3 linked regions of the Arabidopsis thaliana genome follow. The protein of the gene in region 2 interacts with the protein of the main gene of each other region in a pairwise test. Each region holds a gene or a part of one and is shown on either strand. Other genes may lie near its edges.

Evidence for each region.
Region 1: the proteins of BRH1 (region 2) and AT1G07860 interact in a protein complementation assay, tested with the Arabidopsis thaliana proteins (one large-scale study listed by BioGRID).
Region 3: the proteins of BRH1 (region 2) and UBC34 interact in a protein complementation assay, tested with the Arabidopsis thaliana proteins (one large-scale study listed by BioGRID).

What each region holds. Positions count from the first base shown.
Region 1 is NC_003070.9:2,423,777-2,434,256, reverse strand, and holds AT1G07860 (Serine/Threonine-kinase RLCKVII protein), read left to right. Parts: upstream 1-4,825; coding exon 4,826-4,991; intron 4,992-5,031; exon of another isoform or gene 5,032-5,073; coding exon 5,074-5,315; 3' UTR 5,316-5,346; downstream 5,347-10,480. Other genes in the region: ATMPK13 (Protein kinase superfamily protein), read left to right, coding at 1-64; AT1G07870 (Protein kinase superfamily protein), read left to right, coding at 2,414-2,555, 2,914-3,152, 3,250-3,439, 3,545-3,936, 4,016-4,314, 4,879-4,991, 5,074-5,315; AT1G07850 (transferring glycosyl group transferase (DUF604)), read right to left, coding at 5,538-5,657, 5,819-6,364, 6,478-6,880, 6,956-7,512; AT1G07840 (Sas10/Utp3/C1D family), read right to left, coding at 7,832-7,843, 7,951-8,065, 8,154-8,305, 8,395-8,562, 8,646-8,825, 8,909-9,088, 9,331-9,418, 9,611-9,654.
Region 2 is NC_003074.8:22,736,904-22,747,935, forward strand, and holds BRH1 (brassinosteroid-responsive RING-H2), read right to left. Parts: upstream 5,382-11,032; 5' UTR 5,311-5,381; coding exon 4,798-5,310; 3' UTR 4,608-4,797; downstream 1-4,607. Other genes in the region: CYSC1 (cysteine synthase C1), read left to right, coding at 1-103, 189-240, 323-402, 481-540, 616-696, 791-889; SYP73 (syntaxin of plants 73), read left to right, coding at 1,552-1,707, 1,790-1,915, 2,021-2,180, 2,269-2,354, 2,442-2,510, 2,593-2,637, 2,727-2,789, 2,871-2,947 and 1 more; LHCA2 (photosystem I light harvesting complex protein), read left to right, coding at 8,833-8,885, 9,210-9,397, 9,502-10,016, 10,112-10,129. UniProt on the Arabidopsis thaliana protein: May be involved in the brassinosteroids (BRs) signaling pathway and regulate the growth and development of rosette leaves. Seems to prevent over development of leaves and inflorescence stems.
Region 3 is NC_003070.9:5,914,454-5,925,811, forward strand, and holds UBC34 (ubiquitin-conjugating enzyme 34), read right to left. Parts: upstream 5,890-11,358; 5' UTR 5,526-5,889; intron 5,524-5,525; exon of another isoform or gene 4,745-5,523; 5' UTR 4,710-4,744; coding exon 4,653-4,709; intron 4,450-4,652; coding exon 4,395-4,449; intron 3,982-4,394; coding exon 3,943-3,981; intron 3,861-3,942; coding exon 3,797-3,860; intron 3,697-3,796; coding exon 3,635-3,696; intron 3,569-3,634; coding exon 3,511-3,568; intron 3,434-3,510; coding exon 3,406-3,433; intron 3,242-3,405; coding exon 3,150-3,241; intron 2,970-3,149; coding exon 2,693-2,969; 3' UTR 2,379-2,692; downstream 1-2,378. Other genes in the region: AT1G17285 (uncharacterized protein), read left to right, coding at 6,262-6,659, 6,765-6,834; AlaAT1 (alanine aminotransferas), read left to right, coding at 8,318-8,539, 9,139-9,189, 9,268-9,318, 9,407-9,472, 9,550-9,611, 9,698-9,776, 9,854-9,958, 10,047-10,157 and 5 more. UniProt on the Arabidopsis thaliana protein: Accepts the ubiquitin from the E1 complex and catalyzes its covalent attachment to other proteins.

The sequences.
Region 1 (10,480 bases), on a different chromosome or scaffold from region 2:
CTTAGATGAACAAGACATCAAGGAGCTTGTCTGGAGAGAGTCTTTACACTTCAAGAATATGTAATCTCCCAAATTCTCACTCTCTTCATAATTTTTAAGACACTTGAAAGCTTATTTGTCTAAGCTGTGGGGAATAGTGAACATGACTCGTATTCTCGTGTGCATGTGTTTGTTTTGCTGATGGTTGGTTGTGCAATGGGAAAAAAGTTCTTACCCAAACAAACCCTTAAGCGATTGCAAATAATTTCAACCCGACCAATCTCTACACAAGATAAAGCTAATTCGACCATACTCTGCCTAAATCAAATCTAATTTCACCAAATTCCTTAAAAGTCCCAAAGATTAGCTAAATCGTCCTAAAGCAAACTCTCTTATTTACAAAACTAGCTAGCTTTTTTTAAATAAAAATGTATGTAATGCCAATCGATTGCCGAAAGGTAATTTTCTTGTTTTATATTGATAATTTGGTATATGATATTAGTAGATAATTTGAATTGGACCAAGCAAGTCAACATCATTGCATATGTATTTTTAATAATTAAACGTGAAAACATCTCCGAATGAAACCGTTTGCTACAAAAGCCAAACACGTCTTGGTTTACGGATGCTGGTTCCAAAGAATTAATAAACAATATCTTTGTTGAACCATACATTTGTTTATAGATTATGTTCCTTTCTTAAATAATTCGAGCTGTCAAACTAAGTTCTAATTTAAACTTATTTCAATCCATTGTTGATTAAAATTTTGATATATTTATAGAAAATCCATTTTCTTAATAAAAAGGAGTTGACTAGGTTTTTTAATGCTGGCCCAAGAGGCCAACAGAAAGGAAAGTCCACTTTTGTGCTTATTATAAATTTACTGAAACAAATATCAAAATAGTAGGTATAAAACATTTCAAAAACTCTACACCAATTGATATACGACATTTTTTTCCAGTTAAAAATGCTAATTATAGCCGAATACAATACAAATTGTAATCCACCAATTAATGTTATATACATGAATTCTTCATTGTATTAAAAAAATGAATCTTCACTTTATCTAGTTGAAAACTTAATGCAAACTAACGAGCAATGGGTTAAATGAAATGACTCATCAGACGTTGGGCCATCGTGGGCTTGGAGTAAACTGAAAATGGAATATCAATGTTAAACAAATTTCTCGATTACTAGAATAATAAACACCAAAAAAGTTTAGTGAGTAAAACATTTTTTTTTTCTTTCTGTCTAACTTACTATTTTTTCGAACAGAGCATATAGCTTTTACTATTTTTGCCAGCAAAGGATGGCCTGTCTCTCATAAAGTTATTTTACGGCCTAAAATGTCAACGTATTGTAACAGGAGTTGTTAATGTACCCTAAACCTTATAGGTAAAAGAAATGAATGAGAGAGATTAAATAATCTTCTCCGAAGAACATTAATATGTGCCACGTGGCGCTATCTGCTGAAACGCGGCACAGTTAATTACTGTACTTGGAACCATAAAACAAAAAAAGCCTGTTATTAATTAAATAATTTTTTGAAAAAACATTCGACAACAAAGCGCGTGGAGTTAAAACGTGGGACCCACAATGACGTCCTTTTTGTTTTCCTCACCTCATTTGAAAATATTTCCAAAACGGTGAGTAATTTTGCCGTCGTCTAACACCGACGTCACCCGTAAGGCGATTGGTGACAGCTACAAAAATGTTACTATCATCAGACTTATCTTTCAATCAAATATAATCATAATCCAATTTAATCTACCATACCTGTCAAACCATCGAGTAAAAAACGTGTTTGTTGTAGCTAATAAAATTTTTAAGACTAATACTGAAAATTGACAAACTAGAAAGATGTTTGGCAGTATGAAAATAATTTTATCAAGAAGTGACATAATCTTTAATCACTCAAATCCATTGCTCCATTAACGCCACGTCAGATCGACGGTGCTTGTTTCCGAACCAACGGACGGTAGATGACAAATTAAAAAGTTGACCATGCTCAAGTGTTTCGTGCCATTACGTGGCGTCTTCTGATACGTTTGTCTTCAACACTAGCCGTACGTTTCTGTTCTCCTCAGGAAGAAACATTTGTCTAGACGTGGCTGGTTTTAATTAGACGCGCTATATGTAATGTACCGTGAACCTTGTCGTAGACGATAACTATACGTTTCTCTCTGAAACAAAGAAAATTAAACAACTTTTTTTGATTACGCGATATAAAAAAAGGCGAAGAAATTAAGCTTTCTCTGTTTGTCACTAAGCTCTCTCTCTCTCCTTCTTCTTCGACTTTTTTTTTTCTTCCTCTCTTCTCTTTGGTTTTTTGGTGTTGGGTTTTATCTGGGTTCCTGATTTCTTCAACGAGGAAGGAAGGAAGAAGAAGAGAAAAGGGACAAGCGAGAATTACTCTTTTCTCCTTCAATTTCCGATGGGTTGTTTCGGATGCAGTAAGAAATCGAGCAAACGATCCGAGACTAACAAAGATACTGTCATAAATAGAAAAATTGTCGGTGGTACTACGAGCGTTGCTAAGAGTGATAAGCGAGACGATCAGACTCAGCCCAGTTCAGGTATCGAGTGATTTTGACTAATTTCGTTATTCTCTCTTCTCCACAAGCTCTCTTTTGGATTTGTTGATTTTTTTTTATCGGATACTTATGTTTAGGTTTTTCTGTATCTGTTACATTTGGGAGAGACATTTAATGGAGATTTTTTGTGATTTTTCCCCGGAGAATTTTGATGCATGTGTACTATTCACCATATAAACGATGTTGGGTTTTTGAAATCGAGCTAGTTTTTTTTGGTTTTGTCTCCTCCATGAGGGGACAAAGTGTCAAAATTGAGCCTTTGGTATCTTGCCGTGTCTGTTTTTGGTTAAGTCACATGATAACTGGTAATCGATTTTGTTACTCGTTCCATGTGTTGTAGATTCAACAAAAGTCAGTCCATATAGAGATGTAAACAATGAAGGAGGAGTTGGTAAGGAAGATCAGTTATCTTTGGATGTGAAGGGTTTGAATCTAAATGACCAAGTCACAGGGAAGAAAGCACAGACTTTTACTTTTCAAGAACTTGCAGAAGCTACGGGAAACTTTAGATCGGATTGTTTTCTTGGTGAAGGAGGTTTCGGAAAAGTTTTCAAGGGAACTATAGAGAAATTGGATCAGGTACTTGTGACAAAGAAAAATCCTATCTGTTTTTATCAATTGGCTGTGAGATTTGTCATAGTTTTGAACGGTTGGTGAAACTTGGTTCTGCTGCTAGGTTGTTGCAATCAAGCAACTTGATCGTAATGGGGTTCAAGGAATCAGGGAATTTGTGGTTGAGGTATTGACTCTAAGTCTTGCTGACCATCCGAATCTTGTGAAGCTTATTGGGTTTTGTGCTGAGGGTGATCAGAGACTACTGGTGTACGAGTATATGCCGCAAGGATCCCTTGAAGATCATCTACATGGTATGTTGTAAGATCAAATTCCTATCCTTTGCCTCTGTATTGTTTGTCTCGCAGCTACCCCCTTTTCTCATCTAACTTTTACATTGTTGTTTTGACTGTTTCAAGTTCTCCCTTCTGGTAAAAAGCCTCTTGACTGGAACACCCGGATGAAAATAGCAGCTGGTGCAGCAAGAGGTTTAGAGTATCTGCATGACAGAATGACGCCCCCTGTGATTTACCGAGATCTTAAATGTTCGAATATTTTGCTTGGTGAAGACTATCAACCGAAACTATCTGACTTTGGGTTGGCTAAAGTAGGACCAAGCGGGGATAAAACCCATGTCTCGACAAGGGTTATGGGAACGTACGGATACTGTGCTCCTGACTACGCTATGACGGGTCAGCTCACATTTAAATCCGATATATACAGTTTTGGAGTAGTCCTTCTCGAGCTTATCACCGGAAGGAAAGCGATTGACAATACAAAAACGCGTAAAGATCAGAATTTGGTTGGATGGGTATGTTTTGTCTCTTGGCTGTGACTCATAATAATCTTTACTGAAACAAGACTCATATTTTCACGGTGCTTTTTAACAGGCACGACCATTGTTCAAAGACAGGAGGAACTTCCCAAAAATGGTTGATCCATTGCTTCAGGGACAATACCCAGTTAGAGGACTGTACCAAGCACTAGCAATATCAGCAATGTGCGTTCAAGAGCAGCCTACCATGAGACCAGTGGTATCTGATGTAGTATTGGCTCTCAACTTCTTAGCCTCTTCTAAATATGATCCGAATAGCCCTAGCAGCAGCAGCGGGAAGAACCCTTCTTTTCACAGAGACAGAGATGATGAAGAGAAAAGACCACACCTCGTCAAGGAAACTGAATGTGAAGGGTCCTCATAGGATATCCAATAAGAGAGTGGTAAAAAATCAAATCTAATTTTGGCTTCACCAAGAAATTGGGGAAAAATATAAAACCAACTCAGGTACATTTTTAACATCTATTGTGGATGTAAATCTTGACTCGGCTTCTTTGTATGTAGAATGTTTCTGTTCTGTAGAAAAGGAAAAAAAAAAAAAACCATTTTGTTTTGGGACATATATACATATATTGAACAAAAACAAATATCGTTGGTCATATATATATTTTCCCGATCAAAAAGTCTGGTAAATTAGGATTAAGTAATGTCTAAAAATTCATAATGATGAATGGCAAAAGTCGTAAATATGTAATAGAAATAGGACTATGATCACGTGATGCAACTTATCCCGCGTGAACCCGTTAAGATTTTTGCCGTTAAATAACCAAAACCTAATCCAAGAAGGCTTCACAAATCTCTTCTCTCTTATCTCTCTCTACTGGTTTTGTGATTCTTGGAAGAGAAGCTACAAGATAAGACAACAATGGCGGAAAGATCATTCTCTCAGCTCCCGATCTCTTCTTCTCACATTGGCAGAAGGACAGGAAACACCCGGAGAGGGATATTTCCGGTATCGGAGTATTGGATCCATGCAATTCCGGTGATCGTTTTTCTCTGTTTCTTCACCCTCTGGATTTTCTCCCACTCAGGTTCCTTATTTCTCCGATTCTTTAATCTAAGAAAAGATTTTCCCGAGAAAATGAGTCTTTCTGATTTTGGTTTTGGTTACAGTGAGCGTCATGAACGATGGAGAGATAATGTCGATACATCGTCTTGAGAAATCCATGGCCGTGAGAAACGAGTCTCATGTCAGTTTAGCGATTCTTGCTTCCTCTGCTGTTTCACCAGCCTCCTCAGCTCTCGTCGCCGTCGTCTCTACCAATCAGAATCTCACAACTTTTCACAACGCAACTCAATCGCAGCAAAATGCAACCCAGTCGGTGAACAAAGCAAAACAGCCACACGCAGTCTAATCTCTGAACGGAGAAAAGTTTCTTTCAGTTTCTTACTGATTTCTTTCATGAACAGATAACTTTCAGGGATTGAATTTTTCTTTTCTTTGTATTTGCTTCAGTTGAAACAATAGTTTTTGATTTAGGATTGAGAATTGTTTGTGAACGACGATACACAGAATGTTTTCAACAAATTGCATAGTCATTTGAAGAAATCTTTAGTGAGTATATATCTGAATCTTGTTAATGCTGCTGAGGATGTTCAAGCTCACTGATCTCTCCATCTGCGCAATTTCCGACCCAAATATACATCGTTTGGTTTCTCCTACTCGGCAATACTCTGCAACAATCCCTCCTCGGTGACTGCACCAAACACACAATTTTAACATCATGTTATTTCAACACCGGTTTATTATATGATCTCAGCCGGTTATCTCTGTCAATTCACTAGCCAAAACCAAACCGGTATGACTATATTTGATGCAAGTTGTTAATAATGAAGCAAAGAGAAGATGTGGACCAACCTTGTGCCATCGGAGGGGATCAGGTCGCTTGAGAACGACGACTGAATCGATCTTTCCAGGCGAATCGAGCCTCCATCGGCACCCGGGAATCCGCCTTGTCTTGTCCAAGTTGTAGTATCCAATCACTTGGCGACGTCCTTCATCATACTTAGCCGAGTTTAAGTAAAACACAAATGGTCTTTGGCACGGATGCCTCGACACTGGTCTCGTGTTAAACGCGTAACCAATGTAGTCGGCTTTGCGGAACCAGTTGAGGAATGTTCTTGAAGGCATCTCAAGTTCGCGAGGGGATATGATGCCTCGGATTATCTGGACTACGAAACCCCATGAGACCGAGATGGACCAGAACCGGTTCTGGTCGTAGCAGATGGACTGCTGGAATATGCTGGCTGGGTCAAGAACTGCTGAAGACATCAAGTGTCGTAGTGCACGTGACCGCTTCATCTTTGGGAATATCGGCTGCACCACATCGATGTGGTGCAGCGACACCAAGGGAGCCACTGGGTGTGCACCTAATAACCCCAATAAGTCCCCATAAACATCGTACTGCATACATAGAAACATTAAAATTAGACGTATTCAATCCAGATAAACCGTTCTAATCCGAACCGAAACCAAACCGAAGTAATTAAACATCGAGGAAACGTAGAAAATGACACCTGGTGAAAGCCAGGTTCTTTGGTGAGGGGTACACCAAGTTCAGTCATACAAGCTTGGATGCGATCATCACTGCCGTAGAGACCAGGATACCGTTGGATGCAACGGTCCTGCATCCGCAAGAGCTCGAGGGCTAGAGCATAGCTGATGGCGAACCCACCGCCTCCAAATGCCATTGAATATGAGAAGAAGATGTTCTGAACGTGAGCCTCCGAGGAGCTACCAACGTAGTAGAACTGAGTGTGGTCGTACTTTGAAAGGACGTTTACCACATTGTCCACCACAAACACTGTGTCGTCGTCTCCCATCACGAACCACCGTACACCTTTTTTGCCTAGCCGAAGCGTCTCCGTCACTACTCGAGATATCCTCACCGCTGATCTGTCCCCTACTGGATGGGTGTACCTAAAACATGACTTCTTGATTTGAATAAGAGATTTCTTGTAAAACACGTCAGATATTGTAGAGATGAGTAAGTACCTGAACCGTGAGGTGTCTTGGGAGATTCTGATTTCTGGAAGGGGATCGTTTCGGTAAGTTCTGACTCTCTTGTCAATCCAGACAACGCCACGAGTTTTACCAGGTCGCCACCATGATTTGATGTACTCTTTTCTCGTCTCCCACAGAACAGAGGACGCGGCAATCCCGAAAACGATGTGATCAAGCGTCGTGTTGAACATCCTTGGTCGCTGCGGGTAAAGAGCGGGGACACGTGGAGGCACATCGTCGTCTTCTTCCTCGGGAACAACAGAGGAAGATGAGTTTGCTTTGTCGACTAGGGACAGGTGGCTGTAGGTAGAAGAAGAGGGACGGCAGGTCTTGCGTGAGCCACCTCCTCCGGTTGTAGAGATGAGAAGCAAAGGGAGGAAGAAGAGGAAGATGAAGAGCCATGGCAGAGGAGATCTTAAGAAGCTTAGGTGAGAGGTCCGAGCAGAGTTGCTGTGGTTTTGTGCTTGGTTTCTTTGGTGGTGATGATCTTCTAGAAGTATGTTCTTAGGGTTGCTGAGATTGGTGTTAGAGCTCGAACTGTTTCCCATCGCTAATGGGAATAGAAAAGAAATAGATCGACACTACTTTGTTTTGTTTGTTTGTTTTCAATCAGATTTGGTGACATCTCTTTTTATAAATGATAACGAAGTTTCAGTAGTAACAGGCTAAATTTAGCTAAAGAGAAAAGGTCTCTTCCTAATTTTACTGCAAGAGCATGACCATGAACCAATACTAAAACTGATAACAAGTTCTCACATTCACCACTTTCAACATTTAATCATAAAAGCAAATCGAAAATTTGTATCTTTTTCATGGCAACAAAATTGGTGCACTGAAGCAGCTAAAGGAACCACTGGTGTATCCATATCAGTGCCTTGTCTGCGAAAATTGAACAATACATTGTCAAACACAAAAGAAACTGAAAAACAAAAACAAAAAAAGGCAGAATATTTGAGAAAAAAATAGTAGAATAAGAAAAAAGTTACCTTTCTTTTCTTGAATGGCCCTCCCCTTTTATTACGGCCGAAGCTTCTTGGCTTTTCACCATCCTTATCCAAGAACTTGATATCATCGTAAAAGTTCTCGGTTAGTTCATGCAACCTGATTCAGTTGAACATGAGTGTGTATCATCACATAAGGACCAATTACATATCAGACACTTCAGTTTCCAACCAAAGCAAACACGTACCCGCTGCTTGATTTCAAGCGCTTCTCTCTCTTCTTATCCTCTTTAGTGCGAGGTGCCCGGGTAAAGAGCTCTTCTTCTGCCTTTTGTTGCCTTTCATACTGTGCCATAAACCTCTTCTGCTCATTGCTCTCAACCCCATAATAGTCTCTAATCTGTTCATATTCATTCACCCATTTAGTTCCAACATCAAATTAATCTCTACCACGCATATCAACTGCAAATTAATTTCCTTCCAACTCACCTCTTCAGGCCTGTCCTCCAGATCGTCCAACACATCTTTCATGTATGTATTTTCAGTGGCTTGTCTAAAAAAGTGTTTCTCTTTTCTGGCAGCATCTCTTTCTTGTTTTGAAGTCTTATCTTCCATAGACATAGGGGCAAATTTCGGGGGTCGATAAACACCATCATCCTACATTTACACAGGCAAAGAGGTTAATAAAAATAACACGCAACATATTTCTTCACAAGTGTTGGAGGATAGTAAGGTTTCACCTCTTGGTCATCCTCTTTGTCAGCAAGTAAGTCAGGTTTAGGCTTATAATTTGAAAGATCTTCAGATTTTTGGGCTTCACACGACCCCTTTCCCTCGGAATGAGCTAGCTCTGTCACAGGCCCACCGGCTGTGGTGAGCTTCTGAATCTGGTACTGAAGTTTTTTGTCTATGGGACGAATCTACACAAAAGAAAAACAAGCTAAAACTATGACTCCATGACTTGTTGGCGATATAGAAAGTGGAAAAAGACAAAGATGCAAACCTTTTCCAGAAACATACGTATCTCTACAAGGCTCCTTACAAGAGGATGACCATCAATAGAGAGTCCTTTTGCTTTCCTTAGAATATAATATACAAGATCCTGGCAATAACTTAGAAGTAACAGATGCTTGGCCTCAAGATAACTTATCCCACCCGCTGTCGGAAAACTGTTTGCTTTTACCTACGATTTGTAAAATTAAGAAAGTCAGGATGTCATGAATGACCCATTGTGTCTCTGAATGGTAACGGCAGATGCAGCTATATACAATACTTTGGTTAAAAATCCTCAAGGAGAAGCAAACAGTTTGTTCTCGAAGTCGTCAATTCTACTTATACCCAATTGAAACTAGACATGTTATAGACGAGACCGAGTAGATATTAATAAAGTAGAATCCAACAAAAATATGTTATCAGATTACGTACCAATGCAGTCAGAGCTTCCACTTTGCTCCTAACCACATCTAGAACATTCTTCATTTCTCTCAACACGGATGCTAGCTGTGGAGCTTCTCTGAGACAGTTACAATAACAAAAACGAGACCAGTAAAAACATGAGGCATATCTAAATACACAAGTTATTATTTTCGTTTGATTGTGAGTTGTGACAATTAAAGTGATTCAACGATTCATTATTCAAGCTGTATTCTTTTTTTCTTTATGGCTAAAACAGAGAACAATTTCATGATGGGTAAGAATAACTCACTTCTTAACTATTCCAACAAGGACCGGTTTGGTGATCTCCTCCATGATTCTTGTTCAGTACTTGACAGAAGATAAGTCTGTGAAAAAAGGAAAACAAACATGAAAGTTCAGAGACTAACCCTTGAATTTGAATACCACATTAAGATACTCAGATAAACTAAACCATAGTAACTGAGAACGAAAAGAATTTAATTCATGTTGAGATTTTGGAACAGAGATTATGGTTTGGTCCAACAACGTTTGAATATCTAAGTAAGCAGCCAAAGAGTAGCTAAATAAAAGTTTCATCTTCAATCCTTACGTTTTCCTACAAATACTGTCTACCAATTTACTAATTCATAGAAACAAACATTCACGATAACCCAATGCTAACCAAAATTGATGAATTCCCAACAGAGCAACTATCTCTCCGTTTTGACTCGATTAATTGAGCTCAGTGGTTGTCGGTACACCAAATCTAGAAGCGGAAAAGACACGAAGAAGAAAGCACTCACCGGAGATAGTGAACTTGAAGGTGACAGAGAGCGACGCTAAGAAAAAGGTCACGGCGGCCACAAAGTAAAATTAATCGAAAGCCTCTCTCTACTGATTTTCCGACAATTAAAACAAAAAAAAAAAGGTTTTAAGGAGACGCATGATTCTAACATATTTCAGGCCCCATTTAGCTTTAGGGCCCAATAAGGGTGGCTAAGTTTAATTATCGCAAGACGCAAGCAAATAATTTAGCGCAATCTATGGTTTTGGTGGTTTAATCATTTTGGTTATTCAGTTTCGACAATATGATTCTTTTCTTTTATAATCAAATAATCAGATTTTATTTTAATTTTTGCTGTGTCGTTAGTCACAATAATCAGTTGAGTTTGAGAACGAA
Region 2 (11,032 bases):
AGATACACTTGGAAATGTTGATATATTTGTGATGGGAATTGGCAGTGGAGGCACAGTCTCTGGTGTTGGCCGATACCTTAAATCTAAAAACCCCAATGTCAAGGTGAGTGATCTCTAAGTTCTGAAGAAATCTTGTGAATATCAAAAAAGTAGATTGCGTTTGATCATGAATGTCTTCCAAATGATAGATATATGGAGTGGAGCCTGCTGAAAGCAACATACTCAACGGTGGCAAACCAGGTGAGAATTTTGAATACTTAAAGACTTTGTTAGTATATCCTCATTGCGGTTGCTGATGGTAGAGTTTTGAACTTTGAGTTAGGTCCACATGCTATCACAGGCAATGGTGTTGGATTCAAACCAGAAATCTTGGATATGGATGTTATGGAGAGTGTTCTTGAGGTATAGTATACGGCTAAAGCTTCCATCTTTTCAATAATCTCAACTCTTAAGGCTTATGTTTTGAGAATACGTTAACAGGTTAGTAGTGAGGATGCTATAAAGATGGCTAGAGAATTGGCATTGAAAGAAGGTCTCATGGTAAGTGTTTTGATGATGTACAGAGATAGTTTGTTTGTTTGTTTTCTGGTCGTAAGTATGGACAATAACTTGTAGGTTGGGATATCGTCGGGAGCTAACACCGTGGCAGCAATTAGACTGGCGAAAATGCCAGAGAATAAAGGCAAACTCATTGTGGTAAGAGAGGACAAGTGTTTTCTTTGGTCTTTGTTATTGATCTATGTGTTATGATTTGGTCAGAAATTATTGTTTTGTGTTTATTATCATATAGACAATTCATGCGAGCTTCGGAGAAAGATATCTGTCGTCTGTTCTGTTTGATGAGCTGAGGAAAGAAGCAGAGGAGATGAAGCCAGTTTCAGTGGATTGATGAAGGAAGACTGACACTTTACCAAAAATCTCGGGAGCAAAAGATTATAAAAAGAAAGATGTAAGAGTAATAAGTTTGTGTTTATATTGTTCTATTGTTGATGTATAATATAATCACAGTATTGTTGATGTTGATCTTGGATATTGAAGATCCAACTAAATAAAGTTCATCATTTTCTGTTTCAAATAGGGATTTTCTGCTGGTAAATTCCGTCTAACTGAGATTTTGCTGATGTAACATAACATTTTACAAGTAGAGCTATACCGATTTCCAACAAAACAGAGGATTGGAAAATCATTACTCTTTTTTGATGAAATAAAACGTATACATTTACAAGCATTGACTATTAAATAAAAGCCATAAATATACTAACAACGACTGAGTAGTTGACCAATATATCACACTCAGAATCAACATTTTTGACTTAATAAAGAAAATAATCTTCAACTTTATAAGGAAAGTATAATCTTCATGATACGCCCTCGTGGCAACAGATCGAACGGCCACAAAACAATCTTCTGTGCTTTTGTAAGCTATAAGCTCCACGTGTCATTTCTGTAACTGTTCTGATCATATTCAAAACAAAAACTTTCAGAAGAAACCTGAAAAAACCTTTCGGAGAAATCTCCGGCGAAAAAGAACCCTAGCGTCGAGCGGCGAAGATGGGCGTAATTGATTTGATCACTAGGGTTGATTCCATCTGTAAAAAGTACGAAAAGTATGATATCAATAGACAGAGAGACGCTAATGTCTCCGGCGACGATGCTTTCTCCCGCCTTTACTCCGCCGTCGAATATGCTCTCGAAACTGTTCTTCAGGTTCGTTTAGATTTCTCCGATTTCGTTTCGTTCTCTGTATGTTTTTGTTTTGTTAACTGTAAACTTGTGAGGGACGTTATAGAAAACAGAGGATTTGTCGTCTGAGACAAACAAAGCGAAAGCTGTGGCGATGAACGCAGAGATTCGAAGAACTAAAGCTCGATTGCTTGAAGGAATTCCAAAACTTCAGAGGCTTTCTCTCAAAAAGGTCTTTTTCTTAATTTTTGTTCGATGACCTAATTTTCTATCAAAGTCTGTGTTGGTGAGAGGTTGGTTTTGTTGCATGTGATGATAAGAAAGGAGTTGTTTTTAGGTCAAAGGACTTTCAAAGGAGGAGCTTGATGCTAGGAATGATTTGGTTTTGTCATTGAGAGATAAGATTGAGGCCATACCAGAAAGCTCTGCTCCTGTTGTAGGTGGTTGGGAAGCTTCAACATCGTACTCGAATATCAGATTCGATACTAATGTCTCGGGTATTATATAATGGTTTCTCTGTAGTTTGTGACCTCTGCGTTATAATATTAGTATGTTGATTAATGAAGACTTTCTCAATTGTATCAGATGACAGAATTGGTAGTGAATATTTCCAGCCAACCGGAGAGTCTGATCAGTTTAAGCAAGAGTATGAGATGAAAAGAATAAAACAGGCAAGTGAGTGTGTTGCTTATTTGGTTTATCATTAGGTCTATAACGATCGATTTCTAAAAACAAGAGTCTAAATTATCTGTAAGCAGGATCAAGGATTGGATTACATAGCTGAAGGACTGGATACACTCAAGAATATGGCTCAGGACATCAATGAGGTTCACCTATACCGATATTCTTTTCTGCGGTTGATGTTCTGGTTTCCTTTATTGATCCTCTTACTGGTACATTACATTACAGGAACTTGATAGGCAAGAACCACTCATGGATGAAATAGATACAAAGGTTTAATTAACTAACACTTGTCCCTGATCTGAGTTTTGTTTTTAACGAGATCGTCTTTACCGTTTCTTGATTCGGTATTTATCATTCAGATTGACAAGGCAGCTACTGACTTGAAAAGCACCAATGTGAGGCTCAAGGATACTGTAACAAAGGTGATATAACTGATATTGAGATCGAAACCAATCTCGTTTTAATATATAGTTAACCTCATTGCATTCTATTTGGTAATATAGTTGAGATCCAGCCGCAACTTCTGCATAGACATCATCCTCTTATGCATACTCCTGGGAATCGCTGCCTTCATATACAAGTAAGTAACCTTTTTTATTTACTCGCTCTTAATCTTGGAGAGTTGAAATCTTGCTTTCATCTTCTTTATCTTTATTTGGCGATTTTGCAGCTCTGTGAAGTGAAAGCTGGTGATGCCTGTCATTTACATTACACATGTTTATGGTAGAGACAAAATATGGAAGTTTCACTTTTCATCTGTCTATTATACACCCATGTATTTTAAAATATGCTTATTAGTTGGTCTAAATAAAATAGCAAGTAAACTCCAATGCAAATCTATAGCTATCTCACACTGATATCTAAAAGAAAAAATCATTATTTATATAAAAAAAAGTTACTCTAAAAGACATTGCAAATTCAAGTTCATGAGCTCACTTCAAGAGAAGAAGAAATACATGACAGATATTACAACTTGCATCACATCCATCATAATTCTAGCAAAAAATCCAGCCAGGTTAAGATTTGTTTGGTGATGCTGATTCAGATAATCAGTTCACGATGTGACTTTTAAGTGGAGCCAACCACTACATAGCTCCTGATTCTTATTGCGCAACTGCAAGCAATGCTCTCGGAGGTGCTTGTGCTGCTAACTATAACAATTTACAAAATACATTATAAAACATATATTCCCATAATATTATATTATAATGTTTTGTATACGTGTGTGTGTGTGGACTACGAGTCTACGAAAATCTAAACCAACTCAAATTGCTTTGTTGTTTGCTGATAGATAGATAGACTATTATAAAAGTAGATTCTCTAGCTAGTACATGAAATCTAGAACAGGGCATGATATGGATTATAGATGATGGTGATTTGTATTGGTCATCTTTTCAATCATTACCCAAATAGTAAATGCCACTTTCCCCCATTTTTAACCTACCCACTCTGGTACTCTTCAATTATCTTTCTCTATAGTGAAAGCATGTCTTCTCCCTTACCATCCTACAATGAATCTGATCACCTTCAGTCAAAATAATGCTACATCAATAAAACATCTGATTAAAAACAAAAATAAAACATCTGATTATAAATAGGTATTCCAGAACATTAGGACTAGAATTTCAGTTTTTCATTTTAGATTTTCTCTTCTGATTTTTATGTTTATATATAATTTGTAGAATAATCATAGTAACTATTACAATAAATAAATCAGAAATGTTCGGTTTTCAAGATTTTTTGGATTTCTGGTATATTTCTATTCAAGTAAAATAAATTCATTGAATTATTACGTTAGAATTGACTGATGGATCTGCAGACCAAGCATGTTACGAGATTCTGCCTTTACGCATTACCATGATCCATTGAATTTAGATCCTTTTGGTAAAAAACTAAAGATAAAAAGATGACTCTTGTCTTTAAAATATTTATTACCATAATTACCAACAAAATTTACAGAAGTGATCACTGGTCACTGGTCAGAGACAAGTTCTGACAAGATCTTAACTACTCCCGGTTAAAAATACATTAATAACTCTTAGACTTAATTAAAATAGCATAAGTTACTGTAAATGGAAATTTAAGGTCATAACTTTCAATCTGCAAATAAACCACTTGACTGGATTATAAAAATGTAAGACTGAAATTTATACTTATGGTATTGATTTTGGATATTCTTAGCATGTAACTCAATTTTTAATTTTCTTTTTAACTTTCAAAGTAAATAAACTACTTTTTATTTTCCTGTCTCGGTAATATTTATTGCTCATCTCTCATTCATATGTAAGGAGTATATACACACATAAAAGCGTGGCAAGTCTAAATGTCAGTAAGAGGGGTGAAAAAAGCAACATCAAAAGTAGAGGGGTGAAAGTCAAAACAAAAAAGAACATAAGGGACACAGAAAAAGATAGAAAAGCGTGGCTTCTTCTATAATAATTCGGTCACGGGACAGTGAAAATCATGAACACCAGAAGCAGCCCATAGCCGTTGATTAAACTCTTCTTGCATCTCATCTGGAACAAACGGTGTTCTACAAAGTGGACACGTCTTCTGATCATGATCCATCCAACGGTCAAGACAGCTCCGGTGAAATATATGTCTGCAATTTCTCAGCCACCGGATCTCTTGTTCTCCTTCGAATTCGTATAGACAAACGGCGCAGTTTTCCGGTAGATCTTCGCCGGAATTCGTTAACTCTTCGAATTTGATAACCGGTAGGATCTCTCTAATTAGGAGTGCGGAGAAAGGTGAGCGGGTTTCGGGTATTCGGGTCGGGTACGATGTGTAATCGGGCCAGGTTTGATCCATTTCGAGAAAATCTGAGAGACCCAAGAAGCGGAAGATAGAGAAGACGATGGTTCTGATGAATCCGAGAATCGAAAGCGTTTGTACGAAAAGCTTCGGTAAGAAAACCTCTGTGTAACCTACGGGAAAGCCCATGGAGAAAGCTAGGGTTTTTAGAGAGATAATAATGAGTGAGCTCTGTTTTTTTTCCTTTTTTTGAAAAAGTTGATTTTTTTAATGTCATGAGGAGTTTGATTTATAGAAATCAAAGGAAGGAAGAAGATGAAGGAAGGAAGGAAGGTACAGGATTCGTCTAAACGACATCGTGTCGTGTAAGATTGATTTTGATAGAGTTAACTGACTGTGACGTTTGTTATGTGAACGTTCCAATGAGGTGAAAAAGAGTAGAAATGGGAAAAGATTGAAGTTGGACTGTGAGATTTGGTTCTGTCACCAACATTGTTGGATTTGGCTACGTGCGTCTCTACAGTATAACTTGGTTTTTTTTTTTTGGGAATAAAAGTATCTGCAAGTTGCACGACGATCAGCACACGTGGTACGTGCGGTTGATGTGGATTGAGGAATTAATTCGTCCTATTTTTTTATAAATGGAATTACGTTTTTTAATTTTAATTTTTGGGATTCGTTGAATGTTATTTAACACGTGAAATTTACACTAGGCAGTAGATAAATAGGGTTACGTTCTCGGTATTAGGACATTTTCATAAGAACAAACAAAAAATAGAGCACTAATTATCATTATTTTAAAAGACATTAGTATATGAAAATTTTATCAAGATCGTTAACTAATCTTGTAGTAAAGTAAGATCAAATGGCTGAGCTTCATTCCGTAAATCACACGTCAAAGAGGTCTCATGCGTTGTCTCTATTAGCATTTATACTGGTTATAGGAAAACAACAAATGTATTTGAAAAGTATAAAATTCTTTTGTAATTACATATGATAAGCTAAGTAGCTAACTACTGTATTAGGTTCTTTTCTTTATTTAACAAGTTTAGATATTTGTTTTGTGATTCTATGTTGGCATCAGTGGAGGTGTATATATCAAATAATGCGAGGGATCACCTAAAATATTACTATTTCTATAAACCAGTTCATTGCTTTTGTCTTTCTTTTTTTTTTTTGGTAAGCTGCTTTTGTCTTTCTTATATATATAGGAAACTATGCTCTAATTTGCACTACGGTTTGGATTAGTTTCTTATTTTGACTACAGTAATATAGTTAGGATTGCTTCTAGTTTTGAAAAAGATGATAATATGTTTTGAGATCGGTACAATGTTTAATTGAAATATATATATTTGATGATCAAATTAAAGGCATATTAGGTTGAGTAAAAACATTACAAAAGCAAAAGTTCAAAAAAAAAAAATGAAGAAAGCAAAGAGAAACGAGAGAAGGGTGTGTGTGGGTCAAGGAGGCTTTAAAGAGATGATTAATAAAGAAGAGGAATCAACCTTATCTATACCCCTCACCCTCAATTTCGAAAATGATAGATTATATATATACATAATTAATAATTATATAAAAGTAGAAAAAAGTCTATTGTTTAACTGAGTGGTGGACCGGAGAGAGGTATAGGAGACAAGTCGTCGGTGGCAATGATCCTTCCACCAACCGGCAATGGTTCATGGCTCAACTATGATCGGAGAAATGTCGTTTTTGCAATGAACATATATGTTTTGTTATCTATAATCGTATTTTAAAATCAAGTGGTCGTATATATATACTCTAATACTTATAGTCATGTGGAAATTTTTTCATAAGATGTACAACTTACTTACGATGATATATTCAAACTTAGTAGGAATTTATTTGGTTCTATAGCCTATATATAGTTGACTCACTCAAAAATAACCAGAGATAAATAATAAAATTGATGTTTTTTGGTAATATTTATGAAGTATGGGCCTTATTTATAATCACACGCTGAATTCTGAAACCTTATAATTAGAAAACGCATTCAAAAAAAAAAAAAAATAACAATAAGAAAATCTATATAGCCTAGTAGAACGGTCACAAAAACCCACAAAAGTATCAAAAACTCGTAAACCATCAACGTTTGAGCTCATTTTGTTGTTATAGTCAAAATCATTCAAAGTTATTTTGACAAGACGTATTGGTACCATAATAACGCATTAATACACCTATACATTTATAAATTATTTTATTAGTTATACACGATGGTAGTACAAGAATACATGTATTGTAGTAGAATTTTGTAATCAATTAATGTCACAAAATTCAAACCAAACTTCAATGAGAAAATTCATGATGCTCAACTAGTCAATGTGTATGTTATACGACAAAAAAACATGCAATTTGTCAATTACCATCGATCCAAAAAAAAAAACCCTCTAAAACGATAAGAGGAACGAAATAAGTATGGAGAATGGTGTGTTGATTTGGAAATGTTATAATGAGGCCGAGACAGCCACATGGCCCTATTGCTTGTATGCATATCATCTCATCTCCTACCTCTCCCACACTTCTCTTTGTCATGTCACTGTTTAATTTTTGAATACTCGCACCATCTCGTTCTCTGGTCCCATGATGCATCGATACGAATATACTTGATTGACTGTTTCTTGTTTGTTTCATAACTATATACCCTACTTTAAACCCTATTTGATCCAATATTGATCTTAGATTTAAGATGATGTTTCGGTGGAATATGAGGTTCAATCATTGCTTCATTTGTAATTAAATAAAATTTTAGATGATACTGAAAAAGTCACGACAATACAGATTTTTTTATTACACTATAATTGTTTTTCAAATAAAAAGATTGGAGTTCATGTATTCAGTCTCTGTTAGGGTCTTAGGAACCTTTTGTTGTTGATATTATACGATAAAGATATAATTAGCTTATTCTCTATCTTTATGATTCCTATTCCTACTGATGTCTTTATGAATCTCATAATTTATAGGTCACATAAAACATGGCTAATCAGTGTTTTGCTAATCATAAGATTTTATAGATGTGATTCGCAATTTTGTTTCCTACAAAGCAGGGGTGGTTTTCTAGATAGAAAGAGATAAACGTATACAATCATTCGCTATAATAATATATGATCGATTAACAACGATGTTTATAGATATTTAATCATTTTGCTAGTGAGTATACAGTCTTAGATCTCGTCGTCTTGTCTTTCTCCTACACGTCACATGGTACCACTTCATGTTTCTTTTTGCTTGGTACCACTCCATGTTTTTATTATCAAATTGGATATAGAAAAATTGCAATTAATTTGTAGAAGGTACATAAATGAGGTCCCGCTCCGGCAAATGTTAAAGCCGTAGTTATTTTCTTGAAGGCCTAATGCTATCAGCTGAAGATTAAAAAAAGCCCAAAAACATATGGGCTTTGGTATTCTTTATAAGCCCAGTCACTTGGAATACTAGCTTATATTTTCTTTCTTTAAAACTCAGTTAATAGTTATGTTCAAATAGAGAGAAAATCTAAGATGTGGTGGGACGAAGTTGCCACGTGCCAATGAGTTGACCAATGAGGAAACTCAGTGCGTTATCCGTAGGGATAATCAGATAAGCAGAATCTGATTTTGTCACCAGAGTGCTTTTATAGATTACACAACACACGTTCGTTTCTTTCTTCTTCTAACACACTCTGAGTCTTGAAGGTCAACAACGTCGAGAATAATGGCATCATCTCTTTGTGCTTCTTCTGCCATCGCTGCCATTTCTTCTCCAAGGTAAGCTCATCTTTTTCTCTCTTCTTATCAGTTATCATCACTTGCTATGTAGGAATGAGACTAAGATCCTTGTACAGTTGTACTTAATTAGTTTCGTTAACATGACTATGATAGTGATCCATTGATTGGGATTTATGATCTAGTATCCGAGAATGTGTGTGCGGTTGTAAAATTAGTGATCCATCATCCATTTAGATTAAACGTTGTGCGACTATTGTTTGTGTGATCCAAACACCGATCTGCCCTATGTAATAATATGAATTTATGCATGGTTGGTGTTATTGAAGTTGTGACTAAATTTTTAGGGCTATGATATATGTGCAGTTTCTTGGGTGGTAAGAAACTGAGGCTGAAGAAGAAGTTGACTGTTCCAGCTGTGTCCAGGCCAGATGCGTCGGTGCGCGCCGTCGCAGCTGATCCAGATAGACCAATCTGGTTCCCGGGAAGCACTCCTCCAGAGTGGCTAGACGGTAGCCTCCCTGGTGACTTCGGATTTGATCCTCTTGGTCTTTGTGAGTATATTTTTTTTGTTCCTCCTTGCATGCTTTTTAACAAGTTTTATAAACAAAATTAGACTATATTTATAATTTTCTGACAAAATTTAGACACATGTCAGCATCGGACCCGGACAGTCTAAAATGGAACGTACAAGCCGAGATAGTCCACTGCCGATGGGCTATGCTAGGAGCCGCCGGGATATTCATCCCAGAGTTCCTAACGAAGATCGGAATCCTCAACACTCCGTCATGGTACACGGCGGGAGAGCAAGAGTATTTCACGGACAAAACCACACTCTTTGTCGTTGAGCTCATTTTGATCGGATGGGCAGAAGGACGTAGATGGGCCGATATCATCAAGCCCGGTAGCGTCAACACTGACCCAGTCTTCCCAAACAACAAACTGACGGGCACAGACGTTGGTTACCCAGGTGGGTTATGGTTCGACCCGTTGGGTTGGGGATCCGGTAGCCCGGCTAAGCTCAAGGAGTTGAGGACCAAGGAGATCAAGAACGGAAGGTTGGCTATGTTGGCAGTGATGGGTGCTTGGTTCCAACACATCTACACTGGCACTGGTCCTATTGATAACCTTTTTGCACATCTTGCTGATCCTGGTCACGCCACAATCTTCGCTGTAAGTGTGATCCAAATCAAAACATATCTTTACTAAATGTTCATAACGTCGACACGTTTAATTGACTAGCTTTTGTGTGTGTGTTTTTTTTACAGGCTTTCACACCCAAGTGAGACAACGAAAAAGGGTTATGGGGAGGTGAATGCGTTTGTGTGTGATCATGTTTGTACAAATATCATTTTGAACTTAAAATTATTATGTACTTTATATAAATTGTGGTCGAATGCAAATTAAGGTTCCCCGTAACACTCTTTTCCTAACTCAATGATCATAAGATGCTTTTACATTGTCATTCGGAGCATAAAAGAGTCCATCTTAATTGTTTTTCGTTATTGTTGATATCTAAGCTTATGTTCTTCTTCTATCTCTCTCTCTTACCTTTCTCTCTTTCCGAATATCTCTTTCTCACCTTTCTCTCTCTCTCTTGCTTACCTTTTTCTAAATCTCTCTTTCTCACCTATCTTCTTTTCTCTCTCTCTCAATATAACATGACAAATTTAAATATTGAAAATCAACTGAAAATTTGTTATTGTCTAATGCATATTCACTAAAGTTAAATCTAAGATAGTAGTTATACGTTAATTATGAACATGATTTAGCAATTATACAACTTCCAAATAGATAAGGTGGAAAAAAGTGAACACATGAGTAAATTGAAGTTTAACTTGTAAATATTTTGTACAGAGAAAGAACCTCTATCAATTAACACTCGATAAATTAGTAATCACTATAAATTACTTATTTTTTCAGTCTCGAGTTAGATCAATGTAATATTTAACATCATTTGATAAAATAATAACTTGTTTGAAAATCTAATGTAACTAAATAGTCTAGTAATATCGTAAATTAATAATCATTATCATAAATTAATATAAACTTATCAAACATCAAAATTCCGATTACAAAAAGAATAAAAGTTTAGTTATGTTATTAATTATTAAAAATTTAGACGAAGGTATACTAGTTTTGTAATCCCATTATTAATAGTCTATAGAATGGTAACGGGCTAACGGCGA
Region 3 (11,358 bases), on a different chromosome or scaffold from region 2:
GAAATCTATGTCAATGGAGTTGGCTACTTTGTTGATATGGACTTAAAGACATGCGGCTGCAGGAAATGGCAAATGGTTGGGATCCCATGTGTTCATGCAACATGTGTGATAATAGGGAAAAAAGAGAAGGTTGAGAGCTATGTGAACGACTACTACACAAGAAATAGGTGGCGAGAAACATATTTCCGTGGTATTAGGCCAGTCCAAGGGATGCCTTTGTGGGGTCGATTGAATAGGCTGCCTGTCTTGCCACCACCATGGAGAAGAGGCAATGCCGGAAGGCCAAGCAATTATGCAAGAAGGAAAGGAAGAAATGAAGTTGCCTCTTCCTCAAATCCGAACAAAATGTCAAGGGAAAAGAGGATCATGACATGCTCTAACTGCTTGCAAGAAGGGCACAACAAGAAATCATGCAAAAATGCTACTGTTTTAAGTCCACCAAAGAGACCAAGAGGTCGACCAAGGATAAATGAGGTTTGTATATCTTTCATTTCTATTTTCAAAAATTCTGTTTCAAAAACTGATTGTAATGTTTGTATTAGGAACCACAAGGGTATGTAGAAGGATCACATGGACATGATAATGGCTCACAAGGGCAGGGTAATGTGTTACAAGGGCAGGAAAATGTGTCACAAGGGCAGAACAATGGCTCACTAGGGCAGAACAATGGGTCACAAACACAAAGCCAAAGAGGAAGAGGTCGTGGAACACAAAGACAAAGGGGAACAACTCGTGGAGCACAAAGACAGAGGGGAAGAGGTCGTGGAACATCACAAGTGTCTGAACAACCACAAGGAGAAGCACAATCGCAAGGACTTGCTGGACTTGCACCATGGTTTGAATGTTCTCGTGGAACATGATAAGCTAGTCTCATGTTTGTTTTTGTTGTTTGAACTTGTCTTTATGACATATGTTTAGTCTCGGTTTGTTTTTGTTGTTTGAACTTGTCTTTATGACATAATCTAAGTCTTTTTACTTATTGTTGTTTGCACTTGTCTCTCTATATGATTAGCTTAGTCTCAGTTTTAAGAAGTTGACCTTTTCTTTCAAATGAAATTCATTACCATTACCAAAGCTACATGTCATTACATAGTAAAAGCATAACCAAACACAAACTAAACAACAAAGACCAACAACAAGAGAAACAACAAAGACATCACATTCAAACTAAGCTCCCATTCGATTACACACTAATAACCAAGAACAAATTTCTGGGTTTTTTTCTTATAGAACATTGATATTACAATTGCAATCACACTAAAACAAAGGCACACCAAGCACACTTTCGTCATCTTTTTCCATCTCTGAATTTCTCTTTTGCTCCACATTCCATCTTCTTTCAACTCTATCATTAGCTCCTTTAAGTTTGCAATTTCAACAGCAACCTCAGCTTTTGCATTGATTATCTCGTTATCAATGCTGGAGATTTTGGGTAGAGCATCTATAACCTCTTCATACATACAATCCTCCACCCATTTGAACAAATGATCCTGCAATTCCATCTCAAGCTTTTATCGACCAAACACAAAAAACATCACATTCTCATATCAAATCTACTTACATCTTCACAGCTTTTGCACCGAAAGAAAGGCCTTCCAGGGTTCTTAGCCGTGCTCGATGTAAACATGACGACGTCGAGCCCACATTTACACTTAACAGGAAACCCACGGCTCTTGAAACCTCCAGCTTCAGCATTCGAAATCATTCCTGAATTGCAGCCTCCACTTTCACCACTCGAATTCCTTGAGTTGCAGCTCATAATGCAGATTTGATCGAAAAATTTGAGAGAAAATGATTTTTAGGGTTTGGGTTTTGATTTGGGGATTTTTCAGAGGTTTCGTCGACTTTGAAGTCTGTTGATAGCACAAAACGTCGTCGTATCACCTTAACGGATGTTCTGTAACGTCTGTCAATTACGCTGTTAGAAGGAATTTTAACGGTGGTTAATTAGGCCGAGTCAACGCAAACTTGAATGTTAAAACAGAAGTCAACTTTTTGTTGAAAGTTAAAACGGCCATTTCACGAGTTCACGGTTAATTTGACCATTTTTTGTAAGTTGAGGTATTAAATAACATTTTTCCCACTAAATTATAGAGTTAACATTATTAACCATAAACATAATCACTTTCACTGGACTGGACTCGAGCAGAAGAAGAAGATTGGTAACAAGTCAACGTCGGTGGTTGAAGACAGATTGAACCGGTACAGCCATACCGGTTTTAATTTATCATTAAGTATGGTTTTTTCCTTTTCTTACCAATGGGCCTAAAGGGACAATTGCTTAATTGGCCCAATATACCTAACAATTCTATTCACTATTGTCTGTGTATTCTCTCTGTCACTTCTGTTTTCATCAAGTTACTACACCAGAGTATTTACATAAATTGACAAATTAACCTGTGAGCTCTAGGAGAAGTACAATTTGAAAACCATACGGTTCTATTTTTCAAATCCAAACCATTATCCTCAATTCATATATACTATACAAAGTAGTTCCAACGAAGCTACAATATGTATGTAATTGTGAAACCAAACTTATGTTATCTGCTTTTACAAGCACAAACCATGAGGTGCTAAATGAGTAAATTCAGACGAAGAGCACTAGACAAAAGGAGACTACTCTTGATGCTGAAGAGAGAGAGACACAAGGAGAGATTATACGAAAACCAGGTCGAGGTTTGTTGCATAGAAATCACAGTTGAAGCAGAGGCAACGCCATTACCACACCGAAAACCGACACTAGCAACAGTATTATCCACGCTGGCAATCCCTGTTTATTGTTCTTTTTCCTCTCCTTCAAGCCACCTTCTGAATCTCCCTTTGTTGGATCGATGGTTTTCTCTGACTCGACTTTGGTATCGCTCTTTTGAGGAGACTCTGGTGTTGTCAGTTGTGTGGTAGCTTGCTCAGCTAGTTGCTGCTGGTTGTACTTCTCTACATACTCTGGAAATAGCTTTCGAAATGCTGGGCTGTCACAAGTAAGAACATTGGATTCAGGTGAAATACCGAAAACATGTAATCTCAGGACTGCATTCATTCCTATATTCGTTATCTAACCAGCTTTTATGACTATCCTAACCACAGATAACTAAACTTAGCTTCTATATGAATCCAGAATTTGAAATTTTTTGATGATGGGAAAATCTTACGTTTTACAATTGAAAGCGAGAGATGACTTAGCCAACCGTTGTTTCTCAATTACAGTAGTGTTAACACTTCCAGTTGTCGGACTGGTATCCATCTGCGCCGCAAGGAAAACGTTTAGAGAAAGCTTGAGAACAGAAAAGAAAAAATAGACTTCCTTTTTGAATATTCATATCTAAGCTAATAAACCATTACAATATAAGAATATGAGAATTTTCAAACAAGATGTCCATAAATATGTAGAACCTACAGTGAGCTTACCATAAATGAGAGAAGTCCTGTAAGTATGCTGCATTCATGAAAAAAAGTTGGTTATCAACGGGTATATCGATTGTCATCTTCCAAAAGTAAAGAAAGAATCTATACCTTGATACAGACCACATCGGATTCCAGCTTTCTGGATGAACTGTAAATGCCATGTCAACTTATTTCGATATTAGACAAGTTAATTGATACGAAATAATGAACAGAAAGTGCAGATTGTCCTTACAATCACTCATAGATAAACAAATTTTCTTCTGTGTCATGAATCGACCATTTGGTGTAGTCATTCTGAGGCAAACAGAAAAAGATTTGGTTCATTAAAAAACTGGACAAAAAATGAGGTAAGAGTAATGTTGAGACTGAATTTGGAGGAACCATTGGAACATACGTAATCCCTGGTGGCTTGTAAGGATACTCGGGAGGAAACTTGATCTTTCCATAGTAAAATCCACCTGGTAAAGAGAATTTTAGTATCAAAAATAAGATACTGCGTAAGACAACACTAACAAGAAACTTTCAAAAGAAGATTTTCACCTGCAAAAGGTGTTCCCTCACTGCCTTCCAGCACATAATCTGTAAGATTAATCCAATAGTTTAACTCTATTTTAGTAAGAGATCAAGCTACCCTTTTTAACATACTAAATGCAGTAATAATAGAAAGACTGAAACTCCCTAACCGCTATCAGGCTAACAGTAACACTGACAGCCTTTCACAATTGAGAAGAAAACTATCAAATCTATGCATTGTAAGTACATATAAACCTTTGATAAATAAGTCTTCACTATTCCATCAAAGTAATGTGAGACCTCTTCTGTCTACTTAGATCGTAGTATCCCATTTTTTCTTAGTTTAACGTATACTCACAAGTGTAGCAAATATGTCCATCATATATACTTATCATAACATCTTTATAGAAACGCTTGCAACAGGATTACAGGAAGCCAGCAGGAATAAAGATTAAGAAAAAAAGATAGGGAAGGCTTACGCCACTCGAGAATGTCATTTGGGGAAGGACGAGCAACAACATGGGAGACTGGTTCCTAAAGGCCAAAAACAGAACATATTAAATAACCCCCAAAGAAACAAAAGAAAATATGAAACTTACTCTAAACCAAAACCAAGAAAACATTCACATATAGATACAGCATCATTTGAAAGTACAGAGAAAACTGGTTGAGCAATAAAAATATGGAATCCTGGTTCCAGCTCGAGAGAGGTAGAAAAACAAGTAAAGAGAGTGTACCTTGCAAAGTGCTCTATATTCCTTTTGAAGACGTTTTATACAGGCCTTTTCTGCCATCTACGTGCTATGGACGAAGTGAATAGCTGCAGCAGCTGTTACACCCATTTAACATTATCAACAAAACGAAATACAAATATGAGTGAAAGTCCACCTACTGATGAGATGGACTACATAAAACCCTTATGTCTGAATTACATATATGAACTACATAAAAACATATATCGAAACGAGTAAATTGCAGTTGATTTTCGTGCCATTGATATGGAAACTTTACCAATTGTACTATCTCACAACACATATACAGAGATAACAATACTTCTAGCTATTATGCAATACTTTCATGACCTGATTGAAAAGAAAAACCAACCAAATACACACAAGATCAAATGAAACTTGAGTCAAACAACTCTATGATCACCAGAAACACCCTTTGAATAAAAATCCCCAATTTCCATGAGCTTGGAAAAATCTTTTCACCCAAATCACTGCAAACCAATTGAAAGCAACGAAAATTCAATCGAATTCCAACCAAATTAAAGGAAATTATCTGGAAATCCCTGGAATTATATATCAACCTAGAAAATCCTTTGATTGAACCGAGAAAATTGCAACAATGATAGGCAAACCAAACTCGAATCAGCTGCAATATCTTCCATAAATATATAAGAAAATCACAGATACTTCCACATAAACCGTATCAAAGCAAAGTCTTAAACTTGTTAGAGATTCCAATTGCAATTTCAAGCTTCGCTCTTACCCAGAAACGCAAAGGAACAAGAACAACAAATCAAAAGATAATGCAGCGAAGAAATTCCAAAGTAGATAACATCAGATCCAAGAAATAATTGCGAAAATATGAAAGAAATTGATCACCTGAATCGAATTTTGTCGATGAAGATTTTCTCTCTTGGGGTTTCTCGTTAATCTCACTTTCTCCTTCTCCGCGGGTAGAGAGAGAAAGAATTAGCCTAACTCGCGCTTGGTTTATCTAAACCGAACAAAATTCAACACAAGTTAGACCGGTATTGTATAATCCATTCCGGTTCGTTATTAGAGGATCAATGATTTAATAATTATTTTGCGTAATGCACTTTTCCCTATTTCTTTATTCTCCACCACTCATCAAAGAATCTGTGCCGGTTCTTGGAATCAATTTTTCCTTCTCTTCATGAAATATAAAAAAAATAGCTGCAGAAGAAGAAAAAAAACTAGTGATTAGTAGTGAGACAAAACAGCTGTTACCTGCAATTTTTTCTTTTCTGAAATTGGACTTACACTAATACCTCCAAATTCCAAAGTTATGCTTAAAAAATAATTTCAATAAAGTTAAGTTTCAGCCTCTTTTGAGTTCCCCGATAACAGTAGGCAGAAATCACGTGCTCTAATCACATGACCACCATCTCTTAGTTTCAAAGCAGTTACATGAGTTAGGTAATGTGAATATGTGGATCTTTGTCTCTACATATGATATTGTATCATTGTTTCAATGTAGATGCTTGAGGAATATCATCATCATCGTAAGTAAATGATTAAGAATAAGATAAGTATCTCACCATCTGATTAAATAGCATTAGTCAAAGTAAGATCACGTGATCAGATCCCAATAACTATGTGTTCAAACACACATAAATCTTATTCTATAAAACCAACAAGCTTTAGAAGTCTCTCGTCTCTCTTTTCTCTAACACACATCTCCATCCAAGATTTTCTCAGTTCACAGAAAAACAGAACAAGAAAAAGTCAAGAGGTTTCAAGAGTCCTAAAGGAAATTTCAAGAAGAGAACTCAGAATGAAGAGATGCTGTTCAGTGGCTCTGGTTCTGTTACTTGTAGCTTTCTTTAGCAGCAAGTATAGTGTAGAAGGACGTTCTCTGTTAACGATGACACATTCGAGTCAAGCTGTGAGAGATTTGCCTGTAAGCAAGGAGATGAAGAAAGAGCCACTTAAGGGAGAAAATGATAGCTTCAGAAGAATCCCAAGGAGTGGCTCAAACCCTATACAGAACAAGTAAAGAAGATACGAGACACAATCTAGTTTTTCTTTTTTTTTATGTATCCCCAAAGATGAGTTTTAGGTGTAATTGACATCAAAAAGTGTTTCTTTTTGTATCAGGTGTAATCCACCGGTAGATGTTAAAGCAAGTAGGAAACAACAGCAGATCACAACATCAAGAAAACCTTAAAATTCCAGTTCTTTTTTTGTCCTTATTTAGATCCTCTACTTTCGTTTTTTTTGTAGAATAGGTACCTAGACATGTGTGCTTTTAATGCTGTAATCTACTTGAAATATATGAACTCATCTTTTAATCTTATTGATCGATCAAGATAGGATGAAAATTTAAAACGCCTCCTAGCTCGAGTAGTCTAACTTTCCAAAACTATTCTCAACCTCTTTAATCTTTTGAGTTCTTCTTCTTTTCTCTGCTTTGTGGTTTCTTTTATTTGACTTCAGCAGACTTATCCTCAGCCATAGCATGTTGTTCTCAGTGGTGCTTAAAACCTTAAATATAAAATGATCAACCTCTTTATCTATGTTCTCGGTTCTATATGCTTCAAAAATGCATCCTCAGATCCGTAAAAAATTGAAAGTTGTTCTGCAGGAAACCTCACAATATCCTGACTATTTAGCTGCCTATCTCGATATCCAGTGATTACTCCTCACTGCAAAACAGCAACAATGAAAGAAGTAATCACAGCTGTGAGCACTAGATTCCTTTTGACATGTAAGTTTGTACTTCTCTAAAACACCGATACAGATTGTTGAGATTGTTTACAAACTTTTGGACCAAGAAGAAACAAAGTGGCATCCAACACATTACTCAAAAATGACGTCGTTTTGCTGATCCCATGTATAATAATATTACTGTTATTAGGAAACGCTGAGAAAACCGCCGCCAAAATGACGTCGTTTTGCTGATCCCATGTATAATATGATGAATTTTTCCCACGAACCGGTTGGGCCGGAAGAGAGTCTCTAAACCGTAACTCGGCCCATAATGGCCAAATTTTGTCCAATTTCTAACAGCGTTTTACGCGCCGACTCCGACCAATAAAACACATGGTTTTGTCTGAATAATCCACGATCCAGAAGTTCTTTATCTCCAATTAATTGTTCATTATTATTATTAGTACCAAACTAAATTAAAAAGAAGAAGAAAAAACCACCTTCATTTATTACGACCTCTCTTTAGACAAATTTTTTGACTAAGAAAATATCATAAACGGCTAAAAGACTCGAGATTACGGATTATGGATTGAAAACACACAAAACAAAACAAAACAATAATAATAATCTCATTCCTTTGTTTGAAATTAAAAAAAAATCTCATTTACGTTTATTACATTCTTTTTTTAGATTGATTTTTCGTTGAAAAGATAAATATATAGATGGCTTTTGACAGAGTATTTGGTAAGAAAGAAAAAAAGAAAGACATTCAATATTCGTTGAAAAGGGTTTAAAGAAATCCGTTGAAAATAAAGGAAAACAAGATAAATTCTAAATCCGTGGACGGACAAAAAAATGTCAAAATCAGTGTGAATTGGAGAGAGAGAGAAGACAGGAATTGGGAAGTTTCGTCTTTCGAGCAAAACTATCGAAATCTAAATTTAGATTGAGAAACAAGCCAACAAGCTTTTTAGTATAAATCCCATACCACACAATCACAAATGCGGAGATTCGTGATTGGCCAAGCTAAAAATCTCATAGATCAGAGTCGTCGTCGTCAACTTCATCATCACAAAAATCTCAGCTTTGTCTCTCTTATTCCTCCTTTTTCTGCTCCTTCCGATTCTTCATCGCGCCACTTGTCTTCTTCTTCTTCTTCCGATATGTCTGCTTCTGATTCCTCTTCCTCTCTTCCCGTTACTCTTGACACCATCAACCCCAAGGTCCGTTTTTTTCTTAATTTTTCCTTTATTCTCGCCTTTTTGGGTTGCTGTTTGTTAGTGATTTGTGTTCTGTGTTTTGGATTATGTTTCCTCGATTGATCTGTGTCTTTTTGCAAGCTTTGATTTTGTTTTATACTCCGATGAAATTTTGTGATTTATGATTTGGTAAAGTGAAGAGCTTCGTTTAATTTCTTCGAGATTGCTCTGTACTTGATTTAGGGTTTATTGATCACCTGCTTGTGTTCTTTTTGGGCATCATGTTTCGAGTTTATGCATATTATGATTCGTATCCTCGTCTCCGCATCTTGATCATTGACCCTTGATGGATTTATTTCTTTTACGTATTATATTACTAGGTGATCCTTTGTTTATAGGACTATTTAGAATCCATTTTGTTCTTCAGCTTTTTGCGTATATTAAAAAAGTCTGTTGCTTTCTGAATTCTTCATTTTTGTTCTTCCTTGTGATTAGCTCATACTTTACAATTGAATAGTTTATTGTCGAGGAACAGTTCTGCATCTTAAATCTAGCTTTAGTGACTGATGTTTTGTTTGGTTTTTTTTATTCTAACAATATGGTTTCTTTTTGGGGGTTCTCAGGTTATCAAATGTGAGTATGCTGTCCGTGGAGAAATTGTCAACATTGCTCAGGTTAACATCTTTGTCCTTGATTGTATATTTCTAGTGGAGACTGTTTTGCTCATTTTGATTTCTGTTTCCATCTTACAGAAATTGCAAGAAGATTTGAAGACTAACAAGGACGCTTATCCCTTTGATGAGGTACGTTATAATCGGTTTAGTCCTTTTCGTGTTTTCAAGCTTGATTCTTTTCATGAGTGAAGCTTACAAGGTTCTATGTTTTTGGCAGATTATCTACTGTAATATCGGGAATCCTCAATCTCTTGGTCAACAGCCTATAACATTCTTCAGAGAGGTAAATAAGTGAGCTTTTATAGTGCTGGTTTGTTCCATATGTTAATCATGAGTTAGCTTGTAACATTTATATCTCAGGTTCTTGCTTTATGTTCCTACACAGCCCTGTTGGATGAGAGTGCAACACACGGTTTGTTCAGGTATCAAAAGTGGTTTATATGTTTCTTAGTTGTTTTGATTCTGTGGTGTAAGATTTTTTAACATTCAACTTTACAAATTTTATCAGTTCTGATTCGATTGAGCGTGCTTGGAAGATTCTGGACCAAATTCCCGGGAGAGCGACTGGTGCTTACAGCCACAGCCAGGTTTGTGGCATTGTGAATCTTGACAGCATTTCTCTCTCAATGATGATTCCCTCTCTTAATCTTCCGTTCTTCCTCAGGGTATCAAGGGGTTACGTGATGCAATTGCTGATGGAATCGAAGCCCGTGATGGTTTCCCTGCTGATCCTAATGATATATTCATGACAGATGGTGCAAGTCCAGGGGTAAGGATTATCAAACTAATCTTCTCGTAACTCGTAGAATCTGGAACACCTTGTTTTGAAGTTGACAGTGATGTTCCTCTCCTTCTAGGTTCATATGATGATGCAACTTCTCATAACTTCAGAGAAAGATGGAATCCTTTGTCCTATTCCTCAGTATCCATTGTACTCAGCTTCAATTGCCCTTCACGGTGGAACTTTGGTATGTTCGTTATCTTTGTTTATGATGATGATATCATTTTGACGCATTACTATATCAAATGGGAAAATGAATCTGTCTCCAAAGTTTCTTTTGTCTTTCTTCTCATTGTCGTCATGTTCTTCTGGTAGGTTCCATACTACCTTGATGAAGCATCAGGATGGGGTCTTGAAATATCTGAGCTGAAGAAACAACTTGAAGATGCTAGGTCAAAGGGCATCACTGTGAGAGCTTTGGCTGTCATTAACCCTGGAAACCCGACAGGGCAGGTAAATTAATCTTCAAGACTAAAACTCACAAATTTATACCGATGTGAATTTCATAGTTTCGTCTAAATTTGACCTCTGCTTTGTTCTGGTAAAAGGTTCTTTCGGAAGAAAACCAGCGTGACGTTGTTAAGTTCTGCAAGCAAGAGGGTTTAGTTCTTTTAGCAGACGAGGTTTATCAAGAGAATGTCTATGTCCCTGACAAAAAGTTCCATTCCTTCAAGAAAGTAGCCCGCTCTATGGGCTACGGTGAGAAGGATCTTGCCTTAGTCTCTTTCCAATCTGTCTCCAAAGGTTTGATACAAAAACAAATCTCTTAGTCAATTGATAATTCTGATCATTGCGATGGGAAACTAGTCAGAAAACTGAATTCATTATTTCTGACAGGGTACTATGGAGAGTGTGGGAAAAGAGGTGGTTACATGGAGGTTACTGGATTCACTTCTGATGTAAGAGAGCAGATATACAAAATGGCTTCTGTGAATCTTTGTTCCAACATCTCTGGTCAAATTCTTGCTAGCCTCATCATGAGCCCACCCAAGGTATAAAACATCTATATGACTTTATCATCACAATTGATTCAGTTTCCACCTGTTGGCTTGGACTTGCACATCGATAATTGACCTTAATAGCTTTTATTAAATTTGATCAGCCTGGTGACGACTCCTATGAATCATACATAGCAGAGAAGGATGGAATTCTCTCATCTTTGGCAAGACGTGCAAAGGTTAGCCATTTAATAGACAACTAGGAATATTCAAGATTAGAACTTTCTGTTCTTAAAGTGTTTGAACTCTAACCTTGCAGACTCTTGAAGAGGCTCTGAACAAGCTAGAGGGAGTTACATGCAATAGAGCAGAAGGAGCTATGTATCTATTCCCTTGCCTTCACCTTCCACAAAAGGCAATTGCAGCTGCTGAGGCGGAAAAGACAGCACC